Linked DNA regions of Saccharomyces cerevisiae S288C. The gene in region 3 interacts genetically with the main gene of each other region. Each region holds a gene or a part of one and is shown on either strand. Other genes may lie near its edges. The genes, in order: YPS3, MRH1, SCW10 and SED1.

Region 1 (5,025 bases), on a different chromosome or scaffold from region 3:
AGTCGTTCAAATACAAAGAATATGTGTTGCTTTTGATAGCACCAGAATTTTTCAATACAATGGGGAAGTTGTCGTATTTATAAGCTTTTCCACTATGAGACGCAGTAGAGCCAGAATAAGTGACTTCTAATTCGGGCAAACCAATACCTAACACACCCATAGTAGAATTCGTTTCATTGGCAACGGCAAAAGACAACCCGGTAACGTTCAAGTCGCTTAAATCCAAAACATCCGTACCAAAAGTACCGGAGGCAAAAGTCCCATCACCGTAGCTAATACTGAAATAGGTGTTGTTTGATCTAAATGTAGAAGAGCCCGAAGTGGAAAATGTCCCGTATTGTTGACAGTCCATGGTGGCTTCCGAAGCAGGCACGGATTGAGTTGCCGTACCTGAACCGCCTCCTAAGCCCGTAGCAGTGGGGCCAATGGCACTGCCCGTTCCCGTCAACCAGCCAAATGGGTTTATATCATTAATCAAAGATCCGCCGCTTGACGAATCATCACGTTTGTCAATAACACGTCTCCGGCTACTACCCATACTGTTCGAAGAACAGTATGGATTATCCGAGCCCATAATCCATAGATCAGAGGAGCCTGTGTCCACCAGGACCGTTACGTTCTGTGGTGGCGTGCCCACTTCCAAGTCCACCGAATAGAAACTTTGCTGGTTGGTAATTATAATTTCTTCATAACCGTCAGCCCTCTTCAATAGGCGTACTTCCGGTTTTTTGTCGCTTCCCACATTTTCTAGCGAGTCCCCGTAAAGCTTATGAAAGGGCAACTTGACGAACTTGGAATTCGAGTCGTCGTCGCGCTTGTTTGCTGCTGGTATTATCTTACCGAGAACCTGCGATGCAAAGAGTGACGAAAGGACCGCAGATCTTACAGTTTTCAGTTTCATATGTGGTAGGTAATATTATACTATATGCTTGGTGTTCACCTTATCTTTTTATTACGCTATGTATTTTAATATACAGAAAAGCCAATTGCGTTCTTCTTAATAACCGTCCAATTGCGGAAATAGGAACAAATGCAAAAAGAAGGAAAAAAGTAAATCCTCTTTGACACCCTTTTCTTAAGTAGTCGGATTTCCCTGTTTCTCCATAAATAAGTCCACGAATTTTTTTATGAAACCTCAATTTTTTCGGACACATCAGTGAAACGAAAACTACTCATGGCGCAGTATAAAAGGAGCGAAAAGCCACTCAGTTGAGTGGACGAGGGAGGTGAGGTGGTGACAGAAAAGAGGAGGAAGGAGGCAGTGCTATGTGAGGGTGTCTTGGCTGCATGCAAGGTCTGACGATCTAATTGACGCGTCAGAACGTGTGTTTTAGGAATATTCTTATTTAAGTATGCTTTTCCTCTTGAAATCGCGCAAAGAAGGAAAGGAAAAAGTGTCTATATATAGTGTCTATTGTTTTTTTTTACGAAAAGAAAACGGAAAGGATGAGTAAGGAGGGGACTAGCAGTAAACCCAAGGTAGAGCGTATACTGGAAGCGGAGTTGGTAGCAGCCCTCTGGAGTGCCCTCTTGCTTTTATGAGTCGACTTTGCAGTAGTGGTAGAGTTTGTCTTCTTGGTGGTGGTTGACCTCGTAGTGGTGGCAGTACTGGTGCCATTGAAAGTGCGCACGGTGGTAAAAATATTACCACCGGACGTGGCGGAGGCGTAGTTAGACCAAGTGTTGTTGTAACTGGGGGCCCTTATTGCACTGGGAACGGTAGATTTGATGACTTCGACGTTCTCTTTCCCCGTGCCATACTTGGCTTGAGCTAGGGAAATCTCGTAGTTATCCAAATCGTAGACCACGTAGGCGTTTCTCAAGAAGGAATCACCAAGGATAGCGGTGGCGTTGCCCGCTTGTGGAATTATTGCCAAGACACAGGTCCCCACACTGGTCTGCATAGTAAAGTCGGATAGAGGAGCGTTGATACGGAAGCCACCGAAGTCGAAGGCCACGCTGGTTTTGTTGTCGCTCGAGGGACACGTGTACTCATAATAACCCAATGTCTTGGAATACGAGGCATTCAAGCTCTTTGCTAGCAAAGCCACTGCCTGGGAGGGCAGATATGTTAGCGTTGTGCCTGAATCGAGTAGGGCTGGGAGCTTGGTGGTGGTCAATGTGATGTTGCGCTTGTCGGTTTGCAGTCCTAAGCCCTGTAAAGTGACATCGAACGCCACCGGGTGCTGATAACCCTGCGACTTATAAAGATTAACCAACGGGATAGTGTACAGTTGGCCCTCGTACTTGCTGTGATCTACAGCGCCGAAGAGGATGCTGCCGGAGGACTGTGACTCGTCATTTAGGAAAAGAGAGTATGCGGTTGCATCGATGGCTCCAGAATGTTTTAGGAACAGGGGAAAGTTATCATACTCGTAGCTTCTCTTGTCCATAATAGCGACTTTTCCAGAATAGGTGACTTCAAGCGTGGAAAGGCCGATCCCGAGCACACCAAAGGTTGAGTTAGATTCGTTGGCCACGGCAAACGATAGACCACTGAGGTCTAATTCGTTGTACTTTAATTTATCTTGACCAAATGCACCTTCTGCATAGGTTCCGTCACCGTAAGCGGCATAAAAAGGCGAGGACTTGTTGGCTTTGAACGTGGACGACTTGGTCTTGTCGAACACGCCATACTGGTCACAGTCCATCACAGAACCGCAGTAGGGGTTTCCCTTGCCAGGAACCCATAAGTCAGCTGAGCCTGTGTCTAACAGCACAGTGAGGTTTTGTGAAGGTGTACCAATGGCTAGCTCAACAGAATAAAAGCTTTGCTCGTTAGCTAGTACAAATTTTTCATGGCCGTTCGATCTCTTGCTGAGTTCACCATTGTCGCCGTTCTTTTTTTTTGTGAAGGGAATCTTGACGTATTTCCCATCGGGAAGTACTCTACCGAATGCCGGACTAGTTAAGACTGCTAATGTAGCCACTGCCGCCAATTGAAGTTTCATTTTTCAATGCCGAGTAATTTTGCTCTATTTATCCTATATAAATTCACAAACACACAAGTTAGCGGCTACAGATATTCATATATAATATATATACGTACATATATATATTATTATGGCGTCCAGCCTTCGACCACACAAGTTTCCTTTTGAGGCTTATAGTTCTAAGTTCTTCGCTATTTTTAATTTCTTTTCCGCGAATAGTAATCCGATCGCCAATAATTTCTACTACAAAGGAAGCGCGAAAAAAATAAGAGATATTTTCGCTATTTCTTTTGCCTGTACATGGCCCGGCCCCAAATATCCGATTCTCGTTTCTGTGCCGGATTCCACTACCACGAGACTCAGAGCCCTATAAGCCAGGAGGCCAAAAAGCAATCTCCATTACCAACAATATCGCGGTAGTGAAGATTTGTATGTATATTGAATGCCAAGACAAAATGGTGGCCAATTCTGCCATTCCGTCATAAGGGATATTGAATTTTGCTTATTTCATCACCCCACGCCATTGTTTTGTCCCGCCCGGAAAAACTCTGCCAAAAAAAGAGTACATTTCTGGCCCATCTCCGCACTAATTCCCCTTTCCTTTAAAATACGCTGCTTATAGGCGTCGAATGGAGAAAAGGTAGTGAGTGATTCCTCACCCTCCACTCAGACGTTTCTGATATACAATTGGGGAAAGGGGTTCACACACAGCAAGCCGGTATGTTACAATTGTATTTAGATAAGTTTTTCGTTTGAATGCGTTGAAAATTACTTGCGCTAGCTTCAGCTGATGTGCCATGTAACGCCGTTCTATCCACGCTAACTTCAATAGACTTCAATAGAAAGCAAATAGTTATATAATTTTTCATGGACGGTCCAGAGAATGCCACAAAAGTGCGGCCATAGAATGAAGACTGTATGAAAGAGCGCCATTGTCCCCACGTGTAACTGGGGCGAAGGGCAGGAATTCTGAGAGCAAACTTTGCTTCCAGCATTATGTAAAAAATCGAAGCGCACAATCGGACGCAAACATCTGTGTAGACGTAGAGAAACATGCAGTTTTGATATAGACGATTCATGTTGATGACGAGCAAGGCAATTTCGAGATTTGACTACTGAAGAATTTCTGTTTAGGAGCCGCTTTTGCATTATCATTGCCCTATTACGAGCCCAGTTAATGTTGGTTCGCCTAGTCTTGGGATTGGGATATAGGGTTAGGACGAGTCGATCTTAGTGGTACAAAGGAACCTCTCATCATCCTGAGTCCATTGTCTGCGTTTTTTCTTGAAGCTGAATATAATGTTGTAATTTGCTCGTTCTAGCAACTTCAGCGAAGCCAGTCTTCTAATGACTCCGCTGTTCCCAGAAAGTGTGAGCACTTACATATATGAATACAGCACTATCTGGAGAAGTGGCGCGCTCTTAATTAAAATGATGCAGCGTGTTATCACATCTTGCGTTACCGGGCCTTGCAAAAATTGCTATGTTTTTCTTGTGCTTGGTATTGCTTCGTGGAGATATATATTCTCATATCAGGACGGAATTTTACAAAGTGAGAACTCTAAATGGTGTAGTAAAGAGAAGAAAAAAAAATGCTCAGCGATTTACCCTCATTACAACCACCGAGATTCACTAGGAAACGGAGCTGTCCCTCGGAATTTATTGTCAACATATCATCCAATGTTAATGTAGAATGAGTTACCGTCTGTTACTTTTGGGACGGTTTTTGCACTAAGAACAGACGAGTTTACGGTTATCCTCAACAAGCAAGCAAGTATTTGCTAATCTAGATGCCATTCCGAATCATTACTCATACGTTACTATTGAGAGATGTTTTACAATAGATGAGAAGAATACAATGTCCAGAGCTCCTGGTATGCTAGAGTGCATATTCCAGGTCTTATTCGAATCATATCATACCGTCCATTTCAACAATGGTGAAATGTGGTCCACATATATCAGAAATCTTAACATTTAGTGAGGAGAGCCAGTAGAAAAATGTGCGCAAGCGGAAAGAAGTCATTCACAGACACGTTTAACAAAACACCACCACAGCAGCTTTGTCTCTTGATTCTGATCAGTTTGCCATCGA
Region 2 (4,560 bases), on a different chromosome or scaffold from region 3:
AAAATCATGTCTTTCTTCAAATTCTTAGACAGTGACTCGCCGCCACAAAATTCAAGGACTTGTTATAGTAATTTTGCTGTATTGATTGCAGGTTTGAATGCAATGGACGAGGAAACAAGAGCGATTGTTAAAAGATATTATAAAATCAATGGTGGAAAATTTCAAAAGCTCACAGAACATAATCTTAACAGACTGGAAAAGGTCTGGTATGGTAAAAATCAAAATTACAGGTTAGAAGAACAAGACGTTTTAACATGGTAGTTTGTCTGTTTACGTAATAATTTTGCCTGTAGATTGATATAAAATTGTGTACGGATAATTGCACTGGCACGTCAAAAGTCCGAGAACTATTTTTCTCGAGAATGCCGCGCAAAGCAGGCACCGTGCCTTTATCTTTCTTTTTTTTCCTCCAGCACTAAACCTTCCATAACAATACTATTAGAAAGGTTGTTATCAAATATTAAAATAACTATTAAAGTGATACAAATATATATATAGATGACGATGGGCATAAAAAAGCTCGTTTCTAATCATCAACTATACGTTTCTTGATCAAAATGCACTGAGCAAAATATTGTTATGAAAACATACTTGCTTGACGAAATGGATTAAATGGATCCATTAAATTAAAAAATGAGTCTAGAATTGCACTTTATGATAGAAAATAAAAATTCGACAAGAAATGGTGATAATTTAACGAACGAAAATATTGAAACGTCAGGAAAATAAAATAAAATATGATAAAAGTTGAAGATGGAGTAAAATAATCTTGTCAAATAATCAATAAAGACAGTTTTATCCATTTATAGGATTGGCTTGAAGTAGAAAATTCTTCAAAGATGATTGAAAGAAAGAAGAAAGTAGCACATAATTGACATGACGATTGGCTTATTCTTCAGACTTCTTAGACTTCTTAGATTTCTTGCTCTTCTTAGACTTCTTTTTCTTGTCCTTACTCAAGTTTGGTGTAGCAGCAGGTCTTGGACTAGCAACTGGAGCTTTTGGAGCCATCACTGCTTCGGCATCACTAGGTCCGAAATGGTAGCCCAATTTGTCAGCACCGAAGTGGTTAGCAATTGGAACCAATAAAGTTGGAATGAAACACATCAAAATAAGATCAATGATACCATAGAAAATACCGGCAGAGTCTGGCTGCAAAACGTTACCACCATCGGTAATACCGAAACAAGTTGGGTAAGCAATAATCCACAAGAACATAATAATGCTGAAGAAAACAAGGAATGTCAACCTGATATCGTTATCTCTTTGTTTCACCAAGTTGTAACTGGTGGTCATAACACTGATACTAACGACAATAGCAGCACCTAGACCGATGGTGTAGTAACCCCATTTGTAAGTGGAGTGAACACAGGCAGCGATCAACCAACAAACAGTGAAGAATTCAGTAATACAAACATTGAAAGCCATTTGCCAGAATGGGGTACCAGCTAGCATACAGATTTGAATAATTGGCCATGGCAAAGCTAAGAACCAACCAACGAATCTAGAGTAGAAGATTTGTCTGTAACCTGGATGTTCTTTTTGAGTAGAAGTTTGGACATGGTTGTACTTAGCCTTGACTGGAATCCAACCTAAGTTAGAAGCCATGGTGAAATAAGCGATACACATGAAAAAGTTTGGAGCAATACCGGTAAGGTAAAAGAATCTGTCATTGACTGGTTTTCTGAACATTAAGAATGTTAAAATTAAACCAAATAATAGGTAACAACAGAAACATGTCCAGAACCAATCGGAACCACGACTAGTGATGTGGAAATCCGCACCGGTTGGAGGGTTAATTTTGATGGCTTCGTTACCACCTCTTTTAATTAAAGTTTCAAAGGTAGACATTGTTATTTTTCTTCTTTGTTCTGTGGGTTAAAGGAAGATGATTAGATATTAAGTGAAATTAGGTATTAGTTAAAATTAAAGCAAAAAATTAATGTTAAAATAGGGTCAAAAAATTGGATGTAGAGAAAGAAAAAGTTATTGAAATAATAATATTTTTGTTCGAGGAAACTTTTTTTTTTTCTGAGTTTCTTTTATTATTCTTTTTCTTCGCAATGTTTCTTAACAATAAGGACAAAAGATAGTGACAACGATCTAAGAATTAAAATAAGCTTAATAATAAATAAAAAGAAGAACTTGAAAAGGGAAAAAGAAGAAATAACGAGAAGTGGGAAAGAAATAAGGATATATCTTAAGTTACCGAAAAAGACACTACTTATAAATGAAGAAACCAGGTGAAGAGATCCTTTGTTTTACGAAGACCGTATTTATACATTTCCCTTCATGTACATGTGTGATAAATTGGAAAACCACTTCTGGAATTAAACTGCTTTTTCTGACATCCTTGTGCAGTCGTTACTGCGATTATTTACATCTTTACTGATTCGTATGAGTGTTTATTTCCATTTTGCCTTTTTTGTCCAGGAAAACTAGAGATGCCGATTTTCGGTTAACAAAAAAAGTCCTGGTGAGGGAAAAAAAACGCTATTTTTTTTGCTCACCGCACTAAGAACTAGCCGGAGAAGACTAAGCTAGGAAAGGGATGGAACAGATGACGACGAAGAAGATTAAGTAAAAAAGGTAAAGGGAGACGAGATGGTGACAAGTATCTCTTTTTTTTATTGCCTTTTTCATATTACCTATTACCGCAAACTGATATATTTCTCAAAGGAGAAATAGTAAAGTGGAAGAGGTTTGGGTCTCTTGGTAACCGGACTACATTTGCAAGTTGCATCTTCCATCGAAGTATTAATTCCCTCCATCCTCTTCTCACTAACACCGGCACGATTTTAAAAATTTTTCAACTCCGTTGTTGAATTACGTATTCCTCTTTATGGTAAGCGCTAAGATGAACAGCGCTGAAAAGCAAAATTTGAATGCTTGAAATTCAGAACATGACTATTCGTTCAGTACTCGCTTCATTTGCATCCTTAGTTAATTTGGCCTGAATTACTTTTTGAATTCAAGAGATAGTGCATAAAATGCGGCCCCCCTTTCCAGCTTCCATAAATTGCGCTGATTGCATGTCTGACTAAGCTTTTTTTTTTTTTTAAGCGACCTTGTCTCGAGGAGCATAATAAAAAAAAGGGAGTAAGGTCGGCGGCAGTCGCTTTTATTAAACTGAAGTAAAACAGAACAAAAATTACTTAAGGGTCGCTAATATTACCCTTATCCTCTCAACAAAAGATAAGAAATTAATTGACCTATACCTATAATACCTAATAAACCCAAAAGTGTCTTGCTCTGATGTATTTGTTTTTTTTAACACAACCTTGCTACCTTAGGCCATCGAGAAGAGATTGAGGTCAAAGTGGAAGCGTTGGAAAAGAAGGAAGACCCATAGTATAATGAAGCTAGTTACCATCCTTAGACGACGCCCATATTTTTCAATTTCTCTTATTTTTTTTTTACGCAGCGTAGCAGTTATGGACAAAAGCCGGCCTGAAACAAGATTGAGATTAAATGAAAGGGCGTCTGCTTGTATATGAACTCAGTCGTCCACTCTTTTTAAAGTACTCTACTTATATAAAAAAAAAAGATAGGGATTTACAATGTTAATTATTACACGCAGCATCTAGCGTATGATTGTATGTCCCGAATGCCCCGTTATTACCCAATAAAGCAAATTAATACGGTCTTTTTATAAAGCTGTGCTTCTTTTTCGGGGTAGTTTTTCCGTGAAACCCGTAGATGGGAACAAGAAGAGCAAAAAACCCTTTTTTTTAAATAATCCGAGAGTTTGACAACTTGTAAAAAAAAGCGCAAATGTCGGCGCGCCAAGTTGAAAAGTCGCTCAGAGAAATGAGAGGTAATACCGCGTTCCCAAAACAAATAAACAAACAGAGCAGCCAATCTGCGTGGAAAGTAAACCAAAAAAGCAGAATCACTTGAATCAGGCGGTTTTCTTCGCTTACTCTATACGGAGCCTAAATGCAAAAAAATAGATATTTTGTACTATTCTAAATCGGAGGCCTTCTCTGTGTTCTCAATTTTTTGTAAAGGCATTGAAATATGAAAACAAAATTAGGTGTATGAGCATGAGCACATCGAAGTAATTTAGATTTCTTTATTAATTATGCATGTAGTACACATTACCGCTAACCTTACATCTGCATAAGATCTTGCATCTTCAATAAAAACTCTTTCGCCTTGACTGGAGCATTCAAAATTAAGCGCCTTTTGCTCGCTTCGCAGATTTCTACAATTGAGATAGCATTGCTGTGAGCGCCCTTGCGTGAATCTATATCGTGAAAGAGAAGATATTATGACAAAAAATTGAATGATTTTGCGGGGCCATACCAAAATCCTTTCATGAAACAAGAGTTATTCTTTTAAAAGAAAGCGAACTATGCTATTTATCTTTACGTGTTACATCCAAAATCATTGCCGTAATTTTGTAGGAAGCGCAAAGTGTGTGATTAAAGCATTTGCTATTCTTTTAATTTCCCTTTCCTCTTTTGTTTTGTTTTTTTATATTTTTGCCTATATTCTTCTTTTTCTTTTTCTGTCTTGGGACGAAAGACAACAAAAAAAACCACCAGTAGCAAGAAA
Region 3 (5,063 bases):
TTGGACAAAGTTATATTGTATGACATTATGTCCAACTTAGATTATATCTACATGGATCATCCGGATAGATTGAGATCGCATTCTTCCTATGATAGACCAATGATCATTAAAAACTGATACGTCTTACGACTATGTTTAGCTTTGATGTTTTCTCCATTTTTTTTATGTTTTTTTATGATAATCTCTCAGCCGCCATCACTTCCACACAGGCAATGCTCTACAGTTTTATTTTGCTTTTAGGTAATGCCGCATATATATATATATATAAGTTAGAACACAAACTATAGAGCAGCGAGGACCCGTAGCTAAAAGGAAGACAAATTGAAAAATCTTTCACAAATGAGTATAGAATATATACTTTACACAAAACACATAAGTAAACAATAACGTGATAAGAATAGGAGAGCAAATATGGGAAAGGGCTTATTTCCCCCATATTTGGCTGCTTTTTAAGAAAAAGGGAAAAAGAATGATCATAAAGTAAATGAAGTTTCAGTGGTTTAATCACTTGATAGAATACCCCAGTATTTTTCAACACCGTATTGCCCATCATCTTTCCATAGATCATTGAAGGCGGTAAATAAGTAAGCTGAAGAGCCGCAGGAGCTTTTGATAGAAGAAATGGCGGCTTCTTGGTTTGCTTTAGATGGGACAGCTTCGCCGTAAGTATCACCCTTAGATGGCCAACCAGTTTCGGTAATAACGACGTCCTTTTTCCCACCACAAGCAGTGTAAACCCTTTCGATTTGTTCTAGTACCCATGGTCCTGCATCTTGGGCCGCAGTATTTTCATCGAAGTATGCATGGGCGTTGACAGCCATATAGTCAGAATAATTACACAGGTCAGGGTTATTTATAACAGCAATGAAGGTATCAACGGAAACGACTGAGCCTGTATAACCAGCAGAGGTTAAAGCTGACTTGGCCGTGGAAACGTATTCACCGACTTGCGTCGTAGTGGCAGAACCGCCATTGACCAGTTCGTTACCGACAGAAACAGTGGTAATATCATCCCAGGAGCCATAAGACTCAACTGCAGATTTAATAGTATCAACGGCGTCTTGAATTTTGTCAACGTAATATATGCCTAAGAATAATTTCTGGCTTGAAGTTTTAGCTTGCAAGACATTCTCAACCTGACTACAGTCAACGCCATATAATCTGATGTTGTCAAAACCAGTCAACTGTTCTAAATCTGAGGCGACTTGAGCAGTAGATTTACAGGACCCATCATCATTGTAAGGACTGTAAGTAATACCCTTAGCACCGGAGGCTGAGATACTAGATGAAGCGGAGGATGAAGCTGAAGATGAAGTTGAGGATGAGGATGAGGGTGAGGATGAAGTCGAAGAACCAACCGTAGATGCTGCCTCGGAAGATTGAAGAGTGCTGGTTTGTTGTTGAGAAGTGACGACATTAGCGGAAGTTGTTGGTTCTAAAGTGGATGTAGTTGCTTGAGAAGCAACTGCAGTACTGCTGGTAGTAGCTACAACAGCATTCTCGTTCACTGGAACAATAGTTTCGCCGCTGTTACCGGAAACGACAACAGTAACCTGCGCATGGACTGTGGCAGTAACAACGTCACGCTTTTCATGTTTATGGCGAACAGCAGGAGCTCCTAGAGCTCCGGTTAATAATGCAGATACAGTTAGGAAATTTGAAAAACGCATAATGGAATGAAGACTTTTTTTGCGTTAATACTATCTTTTGACAATTTGAAAAAAAGAACAGTAATAGTAAAGGAGAGACGTGACAGTTGGATGTTCAGCTCAATATTGCAAAAGTATAGTATTTAACTCTTTTATTTGGGCCTATATAATAGATGAATTTAAAATGGGAAAAATATGATGCACGCTTCAAAGATACACTGTAAGACAAACTTCACGCAGACATCTTTCCCTCCATTATAAATACTACAGTTTTGAAACAAACGTGGAAAAGAAGGCTTATGGATACGGCTCTCGATGGAGAAGTTACTGTACACATGAAAACACGAATAACTTTCAAACGCGTGCGACGTTTGTTACCATATTCAAACGTTTCAACGCGAATTTTTTGTCCGCTGTTTCGCGCAATTAAAAGTCTTGGCATTTTTCTCTTCAGGTTTTACTTCGTCCGAAATCTTCGAGGACTTTTCCGAAAAAGGTAAATTACTGCAAACGGTCTTTCGCGAAATCTAGACCGAAGATCTCTGGGGATATGTAAGGAACAAATATTTTTGTCATTGAGGGCTTAGATAAAAAGAAAATCTAGATGTCTTGCCTGAGAAAAAGAAAGAGGGAGGCATTCTTTCTTAATTATTACCGTGCCTGGTATCAGCATAAGTGAAGGCCGAGACAGCTTTCGTATATGGCTGTTGCACGTCTCTGAACTAATCATTCTCGCCCATCAAGATCGGACCATCTTGCCTAGTGCGGCAATGATGGTTAAATTATGCGGGTAAGAGTTTTACATGGTCAGCGGCTATTTGGCGAGAACCTTCAAAAGTAATTATGCCTTCTAGGATTTGCCACTATACAACTTAATCATTAAGGGCTGTGGAACTGCATATTGGGAAAAGAAAAACATACTGAGAAGGAAAGTTAAGGAGTTGAATATGGATTTTATGAGTCCCAAGTTTTCGCTAACTGACGTTGAGTATCCTGCTTGGTGCCAAGACGATGAAGTCCCAATAACAATGCAGGAAATTAGAGAAATTTTTGTGGAGCTCATGGATAAGTTTGGCTTCCAGAAATCTTCTATGGAAAATATGTATCAACATTTAATGGGACAGCTGGACTCCAGGGCAAGTCGTACAGGTGCTCAAAATGCTTTAGTATCGCTACATGTTTCATATATTGGAGGCGAACACGCAAATTATAGAAAATGGTATTTTGCCGCTCAGCTCGATTTAGATGAAGAGATCGGGTTTCAAAACATGCGACTACATGGAAAGGCACGCCAAAGAAACGTAAAAATGGCGAAGAAAAGAGGCGTATCGATAAAGGAACAAATTAAGCAATGGAATGAGAAGGAGCAAGAGTTCATCAATAACCATCCAAAGATCACACTGACTCAAGAACAATTGGAAGATCAGACAAACTTGAAAAGTGCAGACTACAAATGGAAATTGAAAATGAAAAAATTGACGCCCGAAAATATGATAAGACAGCTGGCCCTTTATTTGCTTTGCTGGGGTGAAGCCAATCAAGTCAGATTCGCCCCAGAATGCCTTTGCTTTATTTTCAAATGTGCACTTGATTATGATATTAGTACGTCAAGTAGCGAAAAAACGGTGAAATCACCTGAGTATTCATACTTAAATGACGTTATTACTCCCTTATACGAATTCCTAAGGGGCCAAGTATACAAAAAAGACGCAAAGGGGAACTGGAAACGAAGAGAAAAAGACCACAAGAATATTATTGGTTACGACGACATCAATCAATTATTTTGGTACCCGGAAGGATTTGAACGTATTATTTTAAACAATGGAGAACGATTAGTTGACAAGCCATTGGAGGAGAGATATCTTTACTTTAAAGACGTTGCATGGTCTAAAGTATTTTATAAGACATATAGAGAAACCAGAAGTTGGAAGCATTGTTTTACCAATTTCAATAGATTCTGGATTATCCATTTTGCACCGTTTTGGTTCTTCACCACATTTAATTCCCCCACTTTGTACACCAAGAATTATATACAGTTATTGAATAACCAGCCTACACCCCAAGTTAGACTATCAGTGATTGCCTTTGGAGGCACAATTGCATGTTTAGTTCAAATTTTAGCCACCGTGTTCGAGTGGGGATTTGTACCTCGAGAATGGCCAGGCGCTCAGCATTTATCGAGTAGAATGATTGGCTTACTTTTTTGTCTTGCAATCAATTTGGGACCTTCCGTGTATGTTCTGGGGTTTTTCGAATGGGATGTTCATTCAAAATCTGCGTATATCGTGTCCATCGTCCAACTAATCATTGCATTTTTAACCACTTTTTTTTTTGCTGTCAGACCTTTGGGCGGCTTATTTCGTCCATATTTGAATAAAGACAAAAAACATCGGAGGTACATCTCATCGCAAACCTTTACCGCTTCATTTCCTAAGCTGACAGGACGCAGCAAATGGTTTTCTTATGGGTTATGGGTATTTGTGTATTTGGCGAAATATATTGAGTCCTATTTTTTTTTGACCTTGTCCCTCAGGGACCCCATCAGGGTCCTCTCTATTATGGATTTGTCCAGATGTCAAGGTGAATATTTGTTGGGTCCTATTCTATGTAAATGGCAAGCCAAAATTACATTAGTTCTCATGCTGCTTTCTGACTTGGGCCTGTTTTTTCTCGACACTTACCTTTGGTACATTATTTGCAACTGTATTTTTTCCATTGTACTGTCATTTTCTCTTGGTACTTCAATTCTCACGCCATGGAAGAATGTATACTCTCGATTGCCAAAAAGGATATATTCCAAAATCCTTGCTACTTCAGAGATGGATGTAAAATTTAAAGCAAAAATACTGATATCGCAGGTTTGGAATGCCATTGTTATATCAATGTATAGGGAACATCTTCTCTCCATTGAACATTTACAAAGACTCTTGTTTCAGCAAGTTGACTCCTTAATGGGAGACACAAGAACCCTGAAATCGCCTACATTTTTCGTTGCACAAGATGATTCAACGTTCAAGTCAATGGAATTTTTTCCATCAAATTCAGAGGCAAAAAGAAGGATATCCTTTTTTGCCCAATCCCTGGCGACCCCCATTTCAGAACCTGTTCCAGTGGATTGTATGCCAACTTTTACCGTTTTGGTACCCCATTATTCAGAAAAGATTCTGTTGGGCTTGAAGGAAATTATCAGGGAAGAATCTCCTAAAAGTAAAATCACGGTGCTTGAGTATTTGAAGCATCTACACCCTACAGAATGGGAATGTTTTGTTAAGGATACCAAACTACTAAGCATGGAAAAGAGCTTTTTGAAAGAGGCAGAGAGCAGTCATGATGAAGATAGATTGGAAATTCCGGATGCTCTGTACGATCCAAGGTCTAGCCCGCTTTCTGACCATACTGAGTCCCGGAAGTTGC
Region 4 (4,612 bases), on a different chromosome or scaffold from region 3:
ATCTTCCATAAATGTGCTGAAGTTTTTCACTGTGAACTCGAATAAAGTTTTCGTTATAGCAATAGATAATATCGACGAGTGGTTAAACTTGCACATCAACATAGTTGAGTAAGAGGTGAAGAAAAGTACACCGCTTCCGGTATATATCGCCTCCTGATTAAGAGATCAATGGAGAGCACATTAATAAGTTTGTATTAAAGAATTAAGAACTAAAAATAGTGTATATGATGATTATATAAGAATTATTAAACTACCCCTATTGCTTTTAGAAAACCCTGTCTTGAATGAGAGGATGTTTTACACGCAACGCGTAAGAAACATCTTTAAAGAGACTAGACATGAAACGATACTGCTCAGGGCAATTTAGGGGCTTTCCCACAAAGATGGTGGTATAACGGGGCTAGTCTGTCAAAAAGCCTAGAAGTGAAAAACGAATAACAAAAAAATAACATAATACTGAAAGAAAGCATTAAGAAGGCGGATGTGTCAAACACCACCGTTTATAAGAATAACATAGCAACACCAGCCAAACCTAAAGCACCTGGAACGACGACGTTAGCACCGTTACTGTTGATGACAACGGAATGAGAAGAAGCAGAGGATGAAACTGGGACGACTGTGGAGACGGTTAGACTTGGGTTGGCTGTGGTTTGTTTGGTAGTAACACCTGTTTCTTTGGTGGTAGTGCCCTTAGATTCGGTAACTGGGACAGAAGACTCAGGGGCTTCGCTCTTTTCAATAGTACATGGACAGTCAGTGATAGTCAAAGTGGTTGGTTCAGTGACGGTGTAAGTCTTACCGTTTGTGGTGAAAGTGGTTGGTTCTGGACAGTAAGTAGTGTACTCAGTGACTACAGTGTATTCGGTGGTTGATGTGGTTGTTGGCTTTTCAATGGTGCATGGACAGTCAGTGATAGTCAATGTGGTTGGTTCAGTGACGGTGTAAGTCTTACCGTTTGTGGTGAAAGTGGTTGGTTCTGGACAGTAAGTAGTATATTCAGTGACTACAGTGTAGTCAGTGGTGTAGTCAGTAGATGGGTTGTAAGGAGGAGTGGTGGTAGTGTTGCTTGGTGGCAAAGATGTAGTTGGTGGGAAAGCTGAAGTGGTACCGTTGGTTGGAAGACCGGTGGTTGGAGCTTCAGTAGTAGTATCAGTTGGAGCTTCAGTAGAAGTACCGTTAGTTGGAAGAGCGGTGGTTGGAGCTTCAGTAGTAGTATCAGTTGGAGCTTCAGTAGAGGTACCGTTAGTTGGGATAGCAGTGGTTGGAGCTTCAGTAGAGGTACCGTTAGTTGGGATAGCAGTGGTTGGAGCCTCTGTTGAGGTTTCAGTTGGTGCAGCTGTGCTGGTACCGTTGTCGGATTCTGGAGCTTCAGAAGATGTGATAGTTACTGAGCCAGAGGAAGTGGAGATGGAAGAGGAGGAAGTGACATCGGTGGAAGAAGCAGATGTACTGTTGGAAAATTGGGCCAAAGTAGTCGAGGCTAAACCGGCAGATAATAGGACAGTTGATAATTTCATCTTAATAGAGCGAACGTATTTTATTTTGCTTGTCTTTGTAGTTACGACTATAAATCAATAATTACAAGAGAATAGAAAAAGAGAGGTGAGATAATACGATAATGGAGAATAAAATAGGTCAGGTATTTATATGACAGTTCAAAAGAGGGCAGAGCAATGTTCCTTACTCTAGTTCTACCCCAGCCCCTACGGCCAATCTAAAAATAATGCGACTGGGAGCCATACCGTACTAATTCATTTTACCGTAGTAAAATGGATGAAAAACTGCTTAAAGGCTTTTTGTCTTATTTTTAGAAATTAGTGGACAAAAAATCATTTTCAATCAAAAATACACAAGAATGGAAAGAGATGACATCGAGAAGGGATGGATCTTTAGCCAAATAAAGTAATCAATGACCGTGTGTGCTCTGGCGCGCTGGGCCCTCTCCTCTTTCGTAATGAAAATATAATAACAATAACGGTTCTGATGGCTAATTTTAGCGATATATGCCTTTTTGTCCTCGAAAGAAGGCCGCATGACGTGGAGCAATCAGTGGTGTATGGAAGGTAGACCTCGGGGCTAAGCTTTCTCGGGGAGACGGTGCCGTCTGGGAGATAATTCCAACCAATATTACTGCTTTAGGTCATCCACCACGGGTAGTGTTGAGGATTACCTTTTTCGGTCTACGCAATATTATCCATTGACAGTTTGGCGTACCGTACAAAAAGCCGCTGCTGCAGGTTGTACTTCAACTTTAAGTCGCCGCGTTGCAAGTACATTGTGAAAAGATACTGCCTTACGTTAATTTTCTATATCCAATTGGGGAATATGCATGTCCGAATCTGGCAGATGCATGGATCGTTGAATAGTATTTCCAATTCCGTGTAAGCTGTTGCTTACATTAATCCTATAAGGGTAATGGGTGTGCTTGAGGGGATGTGTACATACCACTTTAGGTTCGAGCTGCATACCCCAATATGGAAAAACGTATTCACCTTAACTCCAACAGATTAAAATCCTAAATAGGTAAAATTACCCTTAACTTTTCTTTGTAGTTGTTGGGTGGAATGTTGTCGTTTTTCCATTTTTTATTGTTTTCGGTTTTCGGTTTTTTTATTTTACTATTAACCTTCACTATCATAAATTATCTCCTCCTTTCCCTCCGCATTTGGTAATGGATTATCATTGGAGTCAATATTGTTAAACACTTGTGAGCAACTGCTGCTGCTTGTTGATAATGTTGGAAATGAGGCAATATTAGCAGTATCAGGTTTCAGATCAATTATATCGCGGAGTTGACCTGTTGCTTTATCAAAATCAAATTTGACAATATAGTTACGATCGTCGCTGCTTCTTGACCGCTTTAAATTTCGTCCTTCTCTTTTTCTATCTTCGCCGTGTAAATTAAAAACAATAGCTATTCTCAAGTTTTCAAAGTTTCGTTTGTTTATTCTCATTTCTTTGATGGTAGTACATCCCTCGTTACTCTGCGAGGATGACGCCTTCACTCTTTTGCTTTTCACGAAAACGGTTTCGTCCACTTGTTCATTCCAATCCCTAAAAAGGCCGATCCTGTCTCTTAGAAATACTTCCCAAGTGGAATCCTTGCTTCCCATAGCGATATTGGCAACGAGCGCGCTTTTCAATATATGTACATTGTTCTTACGCCTTTCGTTGTTAGAGTTGACAAAGAAGTTAGATCCGTCGTCTAAAATTTCGTAGTATTCTTCCAAGGATTCGAATTCGTTTGATTGGAAGGCGGTGTTCATACAGTCATTTAAAACTATTATTGTCGAACCCGTGGAATGTGTGTATTTGGTCATTACCGTAAAAATTAATATCAAATGTCGACATTTTAACTCGTGTATAGTTTTATCTATCATTCCGCCGCCTCTTTTACTTAGTGTACACAGATGATCGCAGACTAATTGAGAAAATCCATCAATTATAACTAGTTTATATCGCACACTTTGAGATAATTTGAACAAATTCTGGAAGAAATATAATAGCTGTCCAAATTTCGTTATTCGGACCCGCTTCACATTTTCTTCCACGATTTTAAATTTTTGAAAGCGTTCTCTTAGTATGTTTATGGGCATTTCTTGAAATGTTTCTATCCATAGAATTTTATCGTCGTTTATTTCCGATTGTTGTATGCCTTCTAACGAATTACACACCAATTGAATGCCAAAATTAGTCTTGCCAATGCCCGGAGGCCCAAATATTTCGTAGATCGACCTTGCCTGGAATCCCAGGTTTAATATCTCATCTAATCCTGTGATGCCGCTACTTAATGGCTTTGGACTTTCTACTATTAATTGGGAAAGTGGTATACCAAGCGACATATTTTCATATTATATATTATTAATAAGTTCTTTTCCTTATCTAAAAGCTTTCCTTAATGTACTTGACATCTTTGATAGCGGAGCTTATTATTAGTTAGTCATGCTACTATGTATTTTTTTCTATTTTTCATATCAAACGCGATGAGAAGAGAACACGTGAAGAACTTAGGGGACCTCCGCATCTATAACATATTCTACTGAAGAAAAAAAGGAATAAAAAATAAAAGAAGAAACGGTAGCTGGGTATATATTAGTATTCAAAAGCCATATTGTTAATTAGCTAAGATGTGAAAAGAAGTATGTAATATTACAATTTTTTTTCCTTTATTGCATTATGAAGAAAAAAAGAAAAATGCACTTGACAATTAGAGTGCCTGTTAAAAATTTATAAGAAATAGTCCATTTGAGATTTTTTGGTTGGAATTATAGCATTTCCGACTTCATTTTGTGCCTGAACAGCTTCAAAAATTGTATATTCACGATTCAAATCGTCGTCTATCTTCAATACAGCTGCTACATTACCACAACGATAACAGTAATTCGGTGCCGACCAGACTGTCACTAATCCACCGTCGAACATTTCTTTGTAACCTTCCATCACTAACTGATGAGCTCTAGCAATTAACTCAACGTTGTTTTTCTCTAAGAATTGATCAACTTCTCTTTTACCGAAAAGAAATCCAGCACCTCTTGGTGATAATGACCATGTGTCAACGTCTTCGGGGTCGCTCCATAATAAGTCACACATAGCACCTTCATGTGGAACTTCT

What was found.
Region 1: of SCW10 (region 3) and YPS3, changing one enhances a phenotype caused by changing the other (phenotypic enhancement), as found in Saccharomyces cerevisiae (one study listed by BioGRID).
Region 2: mutations in SCW10 (region 3) and MRH1 together harm fitness less than expected from each alone (positive genetic interaction), as found in Saccharomyces cerevisiae (2 studies listed by BioGRID).
Region 4: of SCW10 (region 3) and SED1, changing one enhances a phenotype caused by changing the other (phenotypic enhancement), as found in Saccharomyces cerevisiae (one study listed by BioGRID).

Annotation. Positions count from the first base shown.
Region 1 is NC_001144.5:387,320-392,344, forward strand, and holds YPS3 (aspartyl protease), read right to left. Parts: upstream 2,952-5,025; coding exon 1,425-2,951; downstream 1-1,424. Other genes in the region: YPS1 (aspartyl protease), read right to left, coding at 1-901; YLR122C (uncharacterized protein), read right to left, coding at 3,635-4,012. UniProt on the Saccharomyces cerevisiae protein: Cleaves proteins C-terminally to mono- and paired-basic residues. Required for cell wall integrity.
Region 2 is NC_001136.10:505,438-509,997, reverse strand, and holds MRH1 (Mrh1p), read right to left. Parts: upstream 1,852-4,560; coding exon 889-1,851; downstream 1-888. Other genes in the region: LYS14 (Lys14p), read left to right, coding at 1-261.
Region 3 is NC_001145.3:878,563-883,625, forward strand, and holds SCW10 (putative family 17 glucosidase), read right to left. Parts: upstream 1,671-5,063; coding exon 501-1,670; downstream 1-500. Other genes in the region: ubiquitin-specific protease UBP15, read left to right, coding at 1-117; FKS3 (putative 1,3-beta-D-glucan synthase), read left to right, coding at 2,597-5,063. UniProt on the Saccharomyces cerevisiae protein: Glucanases possibly play a role in cell expansion during growth, in cell-cell fusion during mating, and in spore release during sporulation.
Region 4 is NC_001136.10:597,698-602,309, reverse strand, and holds SED1 (Sed1p), read right to left. Parts: upstream 1,518-4,612; coding exon 501-1,517; downstream 1-500. Other genes in the region: SHU2 (Shu2p), read left to right, coding at 1-112; putative DNA-dependent ATPase RAD55, read right to left, coding at 2,622-3,842; phosphoprotein phosphatase PP4 catalytic subunit PPH3, read right to left, coding at 4,228-4,612. UniProt on the Saccharomyces cerevisiae protein: Component of the cell wall. Major cell wall protein in stationary phase cells. Required to stabilize the cell wall in the absence of multiple GPI-anchored mannoproteins.